Drosophila melanogaster: one gene and its partners. The protein of the gene in region 1 interacts with the protein of each later gene in a pairwise test. Each region holds a gene or a part of one and is shown in the gene's direction. Other genes may lie near its edges. The genes, in order: CG14718, Drep2 and Clc.

Region 1 (3,754 bases):
TACTCTGCTCCAGCAGGCAGCCAATTCATTAGCTGTTCCTACTTCGCCTTTGCTGCAAATGGAAGGAAAGACAACATGAATGCTGCACACAGTGCGTGTGCACCGAGAGATGCTGATGAAGAGTCATCCCTTTTGGCCACACCATAGAATAACCGAACGCAGCGTAGTCATACATATACCAGCTTATATTCCGGGCCAATTGCTTTGCTGCGCTTTTGTCTTTTCAATTACGGACGAGCTTCAAAGTCAAACTTTTGTGCAATTATACTGGAAGACAATTTGCCCTGTCTCGATTTTTATGAGCGCACAAAAAGTTTTCCACCAACGGAATAGGAACTTTTCCCCGGCAACAGTTTCCATTTCGCTGTTGTTTTCCCTTCAAGACAGTTGATTTTTAATTTCGTGTCGGCGGTTCCCAGCTTCATTACTTCATTTCAACGGGGGAAATATTTGACGGGTTAAAGCAAAACTTTGCCGCTCTGAAGTAAAGCTGCTGCTGTTGAAGATGCTGACCCTCCTCCTTTCTTGGAAATGGACACCACAGCAGCGGGGGCTGCTAATGAAACAGGAGCTTCCGTACAGGACACCGGATCCGAGAACCCGGAATCTGATGATAAGGTCAGCGGACTTGGTCGTAAAGAGGCGGCGGCCATAAAAGCCAATTGCTGGTGAAAATGTTGTTTCCTTTTTTTTTCCCCCGAACCGAGCTGGCGACAAACGTGGCACTTTCGTTTATCAGGGTGGCCGGCCTTGAGTTCGGGTTCGGGATATTAATAAACATGTCTTCAGAGTCCACGCTCCGTTGGCAGGACATTATTCTTGACTGCCCTCCAATTCGGGATCCTTTGTGGGGTTAATGTGGTCGCTCATTAGTGGGGTAATTGGCAGCTAATTGGCTTGATGAGTACCAGTCATCTTGATTCATCGTGATTGGCCCGGCCATGGATGAGTCTTGTCTTCGAAAAATATGAACTTAAGTTTCAGATTCCTATGGGAGTTCTACTCGAAGCTTTTAAATTGATATCAGGTACTTTTCTGCGCCATCTCACGCTGCGAAAATGTAATCAAAGTTTGCTGATTAAAGTGAAAATGTGCAGAAATTATGAATCAATTTTCCGAAGACGACGACAAGCGAAGTGCAAAGTCATCAGTGAGCTGCGAAAGTGGCATCCAGAGTTTTAGCCGCCAATCACGGAAATTTGCATAGTTCTTCGCGCTTTTAACTATGGACTACGGATGGAAAAACCAGGTCAAATCCCTTGAAAGGTGTGGACGTAAAAGTGCCAGCCATTTCGATGTCCATATTGCATTTTTACTTTGGCTATTAATACATTTTCACTCAGTAAATTCCACATTATTGAATTAAATTAATCCTGCCGCTGTCGATTTTATTTTAAATATATTCATTGGCAACAAACGGTTGATATGTTGGTTTTTGTGTGCAGCAATGATATTATTAATACTTCGGATTATATTGTTTTGATGTGGATAAACACATCACCAACATTTTTTCGAGTCAAAAGTAATGAAATTAAATTGGCTTGCCATTTGATTGAATTGGAAAAATATGGCTGCCAAGTAGGCTACAACACAATCTATCAAAGAAACTTAGATCCGGAACTCAGTTCATTTTTATACTCCTAGTGTCTGGATGTTATCAAAGATTTCAGTAGTTTTTAAAGGAATCGGTTCGTGTTTGATCAGCAGTAAAGGCCACACAACGAGGAGTTTTACGTATATTTTTTACCAACCATGGATAGCACGTCAGCCAGCGTAGTGTATACGAATTCTTTTTACGCTCCAAATTACTCGGACACCCAGCAGCCACAGCCACAGCTGCAGACTCAGCAACAGATGTTCCATGCCAACTACATCGTCGGAACCACATTGGGTTCTGGATTGGGATTTAATTTTGCACCAGCCCCCATTCCCCAGGCGAGTGCCGCTTCCGGTTTGAGTCCCAGAGGCATGTACAGTGATCTCTACCGCTACGAGGATGGAAGCGGCGATGCCAGCGGTTCCTTGCTTCTGGTCCAAGAGGATGACCACTTCTGTGGTGCAGAGGCGGACCAGCAGTTGGTGGCCAGCACGTCGTCCTCATGCCCGATGGCGAGTTCAGGCGAGTCCGTGAGCATTGACACAGAGCAGGAGGCGGAACGGGATCTTCAGATGAACCAATGTGAGACGCTGGAGCGGGAAGAGCTGAATGGAGATATAGGGGAAATGGGGGAAATGGAGGAGCTTGCAGAGGAGGTTAATGGCGAGCAGAGGCCGCCGCTGTTACCCTGCATGGGTGGCAACACATCCTACATGGTGTTCCCGCGCACCGCCGCCGACTACATGCCCCGCCTGGCGCTCCCGCGGCATAGGCCCTATATAAGCATCGGTCAGGAGCAGTACGTGATCCAGGCGGAAACTGTCTTCGTGCTGGGCATGCGCCTCAATGTGACCAAGAACGACATCATCCTGTTCTTCGGCAAAGTGGGCGTTATCAAGATGGACGAGTCGACCAACAAGCCGAAGATCTTCGTCTACAAGAACAAGATAACGGGGCGCTCCAAGGGTGAGGCCACTATAACCTATGTGAGTCCATTCTCTGCACAGGCGGCGATTAGTTGTCTGAGTGGGGCCAAGTTCATGGGACAGGTGATCACCGTTCTGCCCGCCTACCTATCCACCCGGAGGGGCAGTGTCCGGTACAGTTATCCGCGAGAGCTTAATGCGCCGGAGCACCAACGTCGCCAGCGGGCAATGAAATGGAAGCCAGCCATCGACAATTGGGTGTGCATGCTCTGCCGGAACAGCAACTTCGTCTGGCGTTCCAGCTGCAACAGATGCCAGGCGGACAAGGTGGTCGCTCCTCAGAATAACGAGGGAAGTTCCTGGGCGGGATCACGCGAAGAGGACGGTGCCCCTCGTCGTTGGCGGCCATACAGGAACGACTGGCTGTGCAAGATTTGCTATAATATGAATTTCTGGTACCGAGCGAAGTGCAATCGTTGCCACGCCCTGCGTTCCGATGAAATGAAGAGCTCCGAGTCGACGGAGGAAGATACCTGGGAGCTGGTTCTGAATCCGCCCATTGCAGAGTAGAAACAGTCCAGTCCACCTCGTTCTGTCTGTGTCTGTGTCTGTATCTATACGTGTTATCTGTTTTGTGTATCCGCATCTTTTTGTACGAAGGACACTTCTGCCTTCTGCATCCTGCTCCTTCCGGACTTCTAAAAATTTCAAGTGATTGGAACGCGAACTGCGTCGTGATATCCAGATGCAACTTCAATTGAATTGAATCGATTCGATGCGATGCCCATGAGCTTGTGAGCCCCATCCAAGAACAGCAAGAGCCAAGAACAAAAGACACCTAAATTCCTGTTAATGCCCGTCTTAGAAAAAGGCGTTTGAATGCAATGCCGCCACCATATACCCGCCGAACCAGTCTTTGTCCCCAGAGCAGAGATCCTCAGATTGCGGGACAATGCAACTTGCTGAATGGTAATCCACTTAATCCGGGTAACTGAATATTTTACCCAGGCACAAAAGGCAACCGGACCCACCTGGCCAGCTCTAAACGTTTAATGAATTTATTTACTTTCCCGACGCGTGCAGTCAGTGGCTCAGTGGCTCATTGGCTCTGCGGAACTGCACTGTAAATCGAAATATTATATTCAATGAAGTCTAAATTGTTTAATAAAATTAATCTTCTATTCATTTATTTATAGAAAGGGTGAACTCGTGGCTTTAAACTATCACAATG
Region 2 (3,754 bases), on another chromosome or scaffold:
TCTCCCACTCCCTCGCTCTAAGAGGCGCTCCCGTGTTGTTTTTGTTGTTATTGCCGCTGAGCAAATGGCAGACCCTCTAAGCGGGTGCCGCTGGTGATAACATGTCGTAATGGCCAGAGAGGTAAGTGCAAACGTGCTAAAAGCAAAGCAAAGCCGGCAACTACGGCTTAACCGTTTTAGTTTTCCCGATCACCACGGTACCGCAAGTTACTTTGCCAAAATCAGCTGTTCTCACTTCATCACCATCCCCCATCATTCACATCTGCAACCAACGGTGTTAGCCTCTCCCAACATTAAAACAGTTAACCCTATGTCATATTTTTCCAAAGAAGTTTAACCCAACACTACAACTTAATAATAAAAATGCTGCGTGTAACAAATAATTATTCTCTGTAGGAATGAATTTTTTAATTAAGCAGTAGAAACAAAATAATCAAAAATAATACTAGGTAATAGATTTTTTTTAATAACATGCAATTTGAACAAAGTAAAATTTATAATATATTTTAATATTTCTTTGACTTGGTCTTTGTAGATATTTTGTTCTTTACGTGGTCAGCTGAACGAAAGATAGGTTCTTTATAGAGCAACACAACAGGATGCATGAATAAATCAACTTCTAGAGAAGATTAGGCAAATTTTTATTTTGCTGCTTGAGTATGGGTGCAATGGATACGATTCATGCCTGGCCTAAACTACAGGCACTCTGCTCCATCTATGTGAATTTTTCATATGACAACCTTTGGCGAGTGTATCTAGCAAGGCGTATCGCTGCGGATGCTCCGCACTCGCGTCCGCATCCGCTAGAGAAACCTATTAAGCCTGTGGCCCGCATTAGTCTCTTTGTGTGCGTGTCCCTCAAGCTCCTGCTCTGCATATGTGTGTGTGTTTGTGCATGTTTTATGCAGTTCCTTCGTTTCGTTTTGCTTTGCGGGTGAGTGAATAGCTTTGACCCAAATAACTGAGGTAATACTTACGCCTCACAGATGTGCCACTCCCCCAACGCCCTCCTTTCCCGCCGCCTCCATCCCACGTGTGGCTGCAACTGTTGTTCTTCTTCCTCTTCTCGCGCCCCCTTTGAAAGGAATTTCGCTCTCTGGCCTTTCCAAAATTGTTGCTTTGAGAGGATGTCTCCAAAAATAAATTAGTTGCGAATTCCCAAAGCGCTGGAATTCCTTTAAGAGCTGATAAAAATGCAGCCGAGATGGCTTTCAGTTGGCAGTTGATCTGGCATTATTTAGGATAAACAAAACAACTTTATCTCTCCTTCTTCTTACTGCAATTAAAAATCTCGGCCAGCAGCAATTACAGGAGTTTTAGTGCTCTGTTATCCATTCACATTTACAGCTGGCAATGCTTTTGCGAGAGGTAGAGAGCTTCATATAAAAGTGCATCACTCTCTCTCTGTCTCACCCTTTTTATTAAAAGACTTCAATGTTTAATGCTAGAGTTTAAATGTCGAGCAAGATCAGGTCTAAAAGAAAGCTAAATATTTTCCTGGGGCACACAATCCAATAGCAACACTATTAATTGAACGCCGTTGATTGGAAGTAAATGTTTACAAAATCAAACTGATGGGATCTTATGAAATGCTGGTAAAGCGTTTCGAGGGAGAAGGTGCGCGCGCTTTGGCGTCCTGATTATATCACATTGATGCAAATGTAGGCCAAAGCACGACGAAATATCTTTACCTGTTAAAACATCGAAAATTATGGAAAAAAAGGTAGTAAATGGGAAATAGTGGGGTGGATAAAACAAATACGGTTTAATTGGGGACCTAAAAACTGAAGGCATTAAATTGACTAGATAGTAGTAACGGGATTTCTACCCCCACTCCTCCACCTGTCCTACTCGCTCTCGCAAAGCTTTGTGCTGCATTTCACCTCGTTCTCACTGCACTTCTCTCGCGCTTATGCCTCGTGCTCATTTCAAGCGCTGTTAACGCGCTGCAAAAACGCACCCAGCCCCAAAAGTCAAAGAAGAAGCAGCAGCAGAAGCAGCAGCTGCTACCGTAGTGAAATCCGATGCAGCATCTCGTCGGGAAAACTCACAGTTTGCTCTGCCAGGCTGCCAGGCACACAGGCAGCTAAGGACGCTGCTTTGGCCCGTGGAAACACCACGTTCCCACTGGGTGCTATAACTAAACAAATCAAGCGTTTTTCTACAAAATCAAGTTTCTAAAAACGAGCTATAATTAAGTCTAATAACTGGGACTCAGCATCAAATGAAAATGAAAACTCGGCGGTTTCACGGGCAAAAGGGCGCTGCAGGCGCGTAGTATCCGTAAAGTGAAAGTGCGAAGGTCAACCCGCCCTGACCTGCCCCAAAAATACGAATGCGAATGCGAATGCGAAGTACGAGCAGTGAAAAGCGAAATTCTAGGCACTTCAACTCTGCCAGTATTTACAACAAACTAAAGTAACCAAATAACGTGGACGATAACATTTATACCAGAAGCTGTATTTTGTGCAAAGTGCGTTTTTTTTTTCGTGACCCCCTTAACAATTTTTGTAATTACGAATTTTCCCCCTGAACGCAAGGCATTTATGACTCCAACAATAAGCAATAAGCTTTAATTTTTGTAGAACTTTTGGTAAAAGCATCCGCAACTCCGGATTTTGTAAGGCGTACATCGGTTACGGGTTTATATAACGGATTTTTAAAACGGACATGGATTACCAGAGCTTGGAGCTCCAAGTGTAAGACGACCTTGGAAGCGACGAGGCCAACCATTGCAAGCAAGCCAGCAGAGCCAGCGCAGAGACTCGGCCTAAAAGTGGCTGGCAGCAGCAGCACCACCAACAGCACCACCAGCACCACCATGTGGTCCAACGCCCTGTGCACGCTGGGCGTGACGAAGCCGCTCTGCAACTGTCTGAGCATCAGACAAGTGGCAGCCGCAGCTGCGGCGGCGGCCCAGGCCACGCAGGGCGTAGCTGCCTCTGCCGCGGCGGCGGGTGGGGCCGGAGTGGGTGGTGGGGCCATCACAACGGGGCCCTCGTCGTCGGTCACAAACGGCGGACTGTCCGCAATGGTAATAGTTTCGCTTTGCGACCCATACTTATTCAGTGTTTAGCTTTCATCGACTGCAAATGTCCTTCATTTCTAGATCAAACTCAATCTATTCCGTCCTTTATCCAGTTTGGTTTCCAATTCCACCTCCAATTCTAAATACCTCCTCAAATGCATTTCACACTGGTTAATCGAATAGCTTGTTGGGCAATACTGCTCAATAACTAGTTTAATGGTTTTTGGAAATTCATTTGAAATTATTCAACCTGTTGGTGGTTGGTTTGCCTCTTTTCTTGCATGAAATGAAATATCTTACTATTTTACTTAGGGAAGATAAAGCATCACCTTTAGCGTATGTTATACATTTTCTTTAGGTACTATTACCCACTTGTTTTCTAAAGTTTCCCCTTTTTTTAAAGCTAAGTCACACAATCTTAAAGTGCTACGATATTCAACCAGTTCTCCAACAATTGTTTTACGGCATAATATGATTTATCGAGCCTTAGAACTGGCAGTGCTCGCTGTTTATAGTATTATCAGTTTCATAATTTATAATAGCCAGCACATCCCCGACCCGCTGCACTCCCTCGGTGCCATATGGTGCTGGGGTGCAGCAACTGACCTATCCCAAGAGGAAAATCGGTGCGATGGTTTGGATGGAGAGGGATGAGGCGGCGAGTAGAGCACACAAAACACTGGCCAGAGCGAGGGAAATGAAATATTTTTATGAAAAGTTTCTGCT
Region 3 (3,754 bases), on another chromosome or scaffold:
CCCCGCTCCATTGTCCTCCAGCTTCGTCCAGCAGAGGTTCTGCTGCTGCTGCTGTTGCTGCAGGGTGCTTTGTATCACAGATGAGTAGGCCACCGTGGTGGGTGTGGCAGCAGCAGACGATCCAGCGCCCGCTTCTTGCCGCCTTTGCACAGGGGATGCCGTCTTGTAGACGATCACCTGGGCCTGCGGTGTGCTGACCACGTCCACCGCATGTAAATTCGTGATGGGCGATCCATCTGCGGAGCTTAGCGCCGGACTGGCATATTGCACCGGATAGGATCCCGCCGGAACTGGCACTGCCAGCGGCACCGGACTGGCATCCTGTTGGTCTACTATCGTTGCCCGATACGGCTGGCCATCCTTCCGCGTCACCTTGACCTTCCGGCCATCAATGGTGTAATAGGTGTCCGGTTCTGTGTCTGCCTCGGCGATCTCCTGTTGCAGTTGCTGGTGGAGCTGCTGCTGTTGCTGCTGCGCCGCTGTCTGTTGTTGCTGCTGCTGCTGTTGCAGTTGGATCAGGTAAATCGAGTCGTTGTAGGCTTTTAATTGCTTTTCCTGCTTAATCTGCTACAGCGCACCGTACATAGATTGAATCGGAATCGGAAAGTGTTTGGTTTGGGATTGATTCGACATAGAGAGGCTAGACTTAGTCTATGCTTTGATGGGTTTATTGGAAGGGATGTTATGTTAGTATGCGATAAATGCGATAGAGCCTGCGGGGTTTTAATAAGTGTGTGTGCTTCCCCAGAAGCTGGCGTAAACCATAATAGAAGAGTGATCTGAAAGCCGAACGTAAAACAAACGAATTCTACTCACCACTTTGTCGGCCACCAGGTTTAGCTGTTGCTGTTGCGCCTGCTGCTGTTGCTGTTGGGCCTGTTGTTGCTGCTGTTGTGCCTGCTGCTGTTGCTGCTGTGCCTGCTGCTGTTGCATGGCCAGGAAGGTGTTCGATATCATGTTCGGCGTGTTCCAGGTCAGCGACGTCGACGTCAGGGCCACCGTTGTGGGCGATGGTGAGGCTCCACTCGACGAGGAGTTCTCCCCGTAATAGTTCGAGGCAACATTGTTGACTACAGCAGCCGCTGCCGCCGACACGGCCGCCTGGTTCTGGAACGAACTGAGCTGCTTGTCCAGCGAACTGGGCAGCTGCAGCTGGCGGTGCGGCGTGCTCACCGCTGACGAGGCATAGTGGGCGGGCTTAGGCTGGACACTGGCCGCCGCCGCATGGTGGTAGATCTGCTGGAATACTGGGTTGTAGCTGCCAATCGGTGACGGAGGCACAAAGCTGCCACCACTGGCGGCCGCCGCATTAAAGCTGGCGATGCTTGCTGCCGTAATGGTGGCCAGGTGTGGATGCTGGAAGTCCTCTGCTGTTCCGCCGGAGCTTCCGGCACTGGCGGGCACGATGCGGTTGTAGGCGTATGACCAGGGACTGGAATTGGGATCCATGTTTGGCTTGGGCTCTTCTACTGCTGATGGCTGGTAACTGAAACAAATAGCAAAACTTTAGTGGTTTTTGAATATAATTAGCGGCTTATATGTAAAGGATTAACTAATTGGAGTTTATTATTGCTCGGATACATTTCCAATGGTCATGTGTTAAGTCTAAAAATCCCGCCCATATTTATCAATTTAGCGGTAGCTTAGATTATAACATATTTATATTGTTATCACAAGTTGCTTGCCATGGCATTCATAATATAGAGGGGAAAAAGGCGCGAATTCAATTAATGTTATTTATGGATCAATAATAATTACTATAAAATTATTGATATTTATATGTGGTCAAACATATTTTGTTTATCTTTTATTGTAAATCAATAAACACATAGTAGAAGTACACTTTAGAATGAAACACTCCAGTTTTGGGGTGTTTGTTCCCCAACTTTTCTGCACTGAAGGGATCCCCCTATTTTTTTCGTATCTTCATTTTTTTTGTATCCCTTTTGGCCACGATGCGCTTGGTTCCCCCTTCAAAAAAATTGGCGTCTGTATTTTTTGCCTTGGCGCTCGGCGGCAAGGAGACCGCATTTTTGAAGTTTCAGCGTCAATGGGTTAATGTGGGTGCTCACTTATGACATTACAATGACGGGGCCATCACATTGGCTGGGATTTATGCTGTTTTTGGCAATGTTTTTCTGCCTGGGAATAGGATTTTTTCCCGTATTTTCCGCTTGTACATATATGTATCCATGCACACAATCACACACACACACACACATACTCACACACACGGGCGTACATGCGTGCGTGTTGGAAGATAGTCACTAACTTTTAGTCGTTATAGAATCGGAACTGTCGGTCTGCTCGGGCCCAGCATTATCTTCACATCGGATCGGCCAGCACAACAACGCTTCAATATGCACGAGCGGATTTTATGTTTAACTAACAGCGAACGTTCTTTTTTTTAGATTCGGTGCATAACTTTTTTGTGGATGAAACAATCTCCAAAATGGCCGCTCTGCTGCCAGTGAAAAACGAACCACTGGCTCAGGTGAATGATGCCACGGTGAACTTGTTCATCGGTTCACTAGTTCGCGCGCCGAGTGTTTATTGTTTGTTTTGCCGTCGTCCTCGCATTTCGTCTTTGTTAATTTCCTCAAAAAGTATACTGCGTCTTGTGTTCTTCGTGGCATAGGTTAGTCAAAAACATAATTAAGTCATGTTGTGTGAACAATTCACCGTGAAATTTGACCAGCAATTATATTCCCATGTGCTATGCAATAGCAACAAGTGTTGTATAATACGCTTTTTATCGGGTCTACAGTCATTACTAGTTAACTTTGTTGTGTATTTACATTTTACGAGCATTTATTAAGGCACATTTGATAAGATATAAACAAATTAATCGTAACTCCTCTGAAGGTTGTGTTTACTGAACTCGCGCGTTTCCTAACACTGATCAATTGGAACTAGTTGATTTCAAAAACCATGAGAACTTTACAAAATCTGAAAACAAAAAAAAAAATAAAATAATTCCAAACTTAAATATTATATTAAATCTAGGTTTTATTAACTATATGTACGGTTCTAAATTATATATGAACGAATCAAGCCACCACCATTACACATTTTGCAACACTAATTGACCAGAAACCCAGTGGAAAATTGACGCTGCTGATATAATTTAAAAGTTTAGTTAAGGAAAAATTAAATGTTCTTACTTTGGTTTTTTCAACATACATTATCATAAACTTGTAGCTTAATAATACAAAATGTAGCTAAATCTTTAACTCGTTATCCGTGATGTTAAGGAATGTTGAATTCGGCTTTGACAAGTAAAATAGTTAACAATGGTTTCTGTTCCTTAAATATTACTAATTTGTATACATTTAAAAGATTTGGCATAATAACTGGTGTAAAAAAATATTTATTTTTTAATATAAAAATCATAACATTAAATTTAAAACCATCGCGTTGCGATATATGTTGCATTATCCAGCACTGTTCGGCTGGAACCAGTTCGATAGCCCGCTGTTTTATGGTTGGTTCACGTACTAATGACAGTCATTTTACGTATTCATTGCTAAAAGAAAACTGAAAAAATACATTTGACCAAGTTTCCGGTTAGTCATCCGCCCACACCGATCTTCAATTAGTCCTAACCGAATCAAAGGAGAGGTGCGTAGTGCCCAATTGTCAATGAATCGGGGGGAATCCGCCAGCAGCTGGCTGCTCCTCTGCGTACGTGTAAATCTGGGTGAGACGCCCACTAAATAGCAATCACAACATTTCCAGAGAGCACATAGCCATG

What was found.
Region 2: the proteins of CG14718 (region 1) and Drep2 interact in a two-hybrid assay, tested with the Drosophila melanogaster proteins (one large-scale study listed by BioGRID).
Region 3: the proteins of CG14718 (region 1) and Clc interact in a two-hybrid assay, tested with the Drosophila melanogaster proteins (one large-scale study listed by BioGRID).

Annotation. Positions count from the first base shown.
Region 1 is NT_033777.3:11,698,994-11,702,747, forward strand, and holds CG14718 (uncharacterized protein), read left to right. Parts: upstream 1-1,620; 5' UTR 1,621-1,752; coding exon 1,753-3,093; 3' UTR 3,094-3,727; downstream 3,728-3,754.
Region 2 is NT_033778.4:9,292,749-9,296,502, forward strand, and holds the start of Drep2 (DNA fragmentation factor-related protein 2), read left to right. Parts: upstream 1-2,046; 5' UTR 2,047-2,821; coding exon 2,822-3,034; intron 3,035-3,754.
Region 3 is NT_037436.4:20,239,047-20,242,800, forward strand, and holds the start of Clc (clathrin light chain), read left to right. Parts: upstream 1-2,006; 5' UTR 2,007-2,060; intron 2,061-2,072; exon of another isoform or gene 2,073-2,494; intron 2,495-2,516; exon of another isoform or gene 2,517-2,638; intron 2,639-2,798; exon of another isoform or gene 2,799-2,857; intron 2,858-3,459; exon of another isoform or gene 3,460-3,738; 5' UTR 3,739-3,751; coding exon 3,752-3,754. Other genes in the region: CG17233 (uncharacterized protein), read right to left, coding at 1-567, 817-1,449. UniProt on the Drosophila melanogaster protein: Clathrin is the major protein of the polyhedral coat of coated pits and vesicles.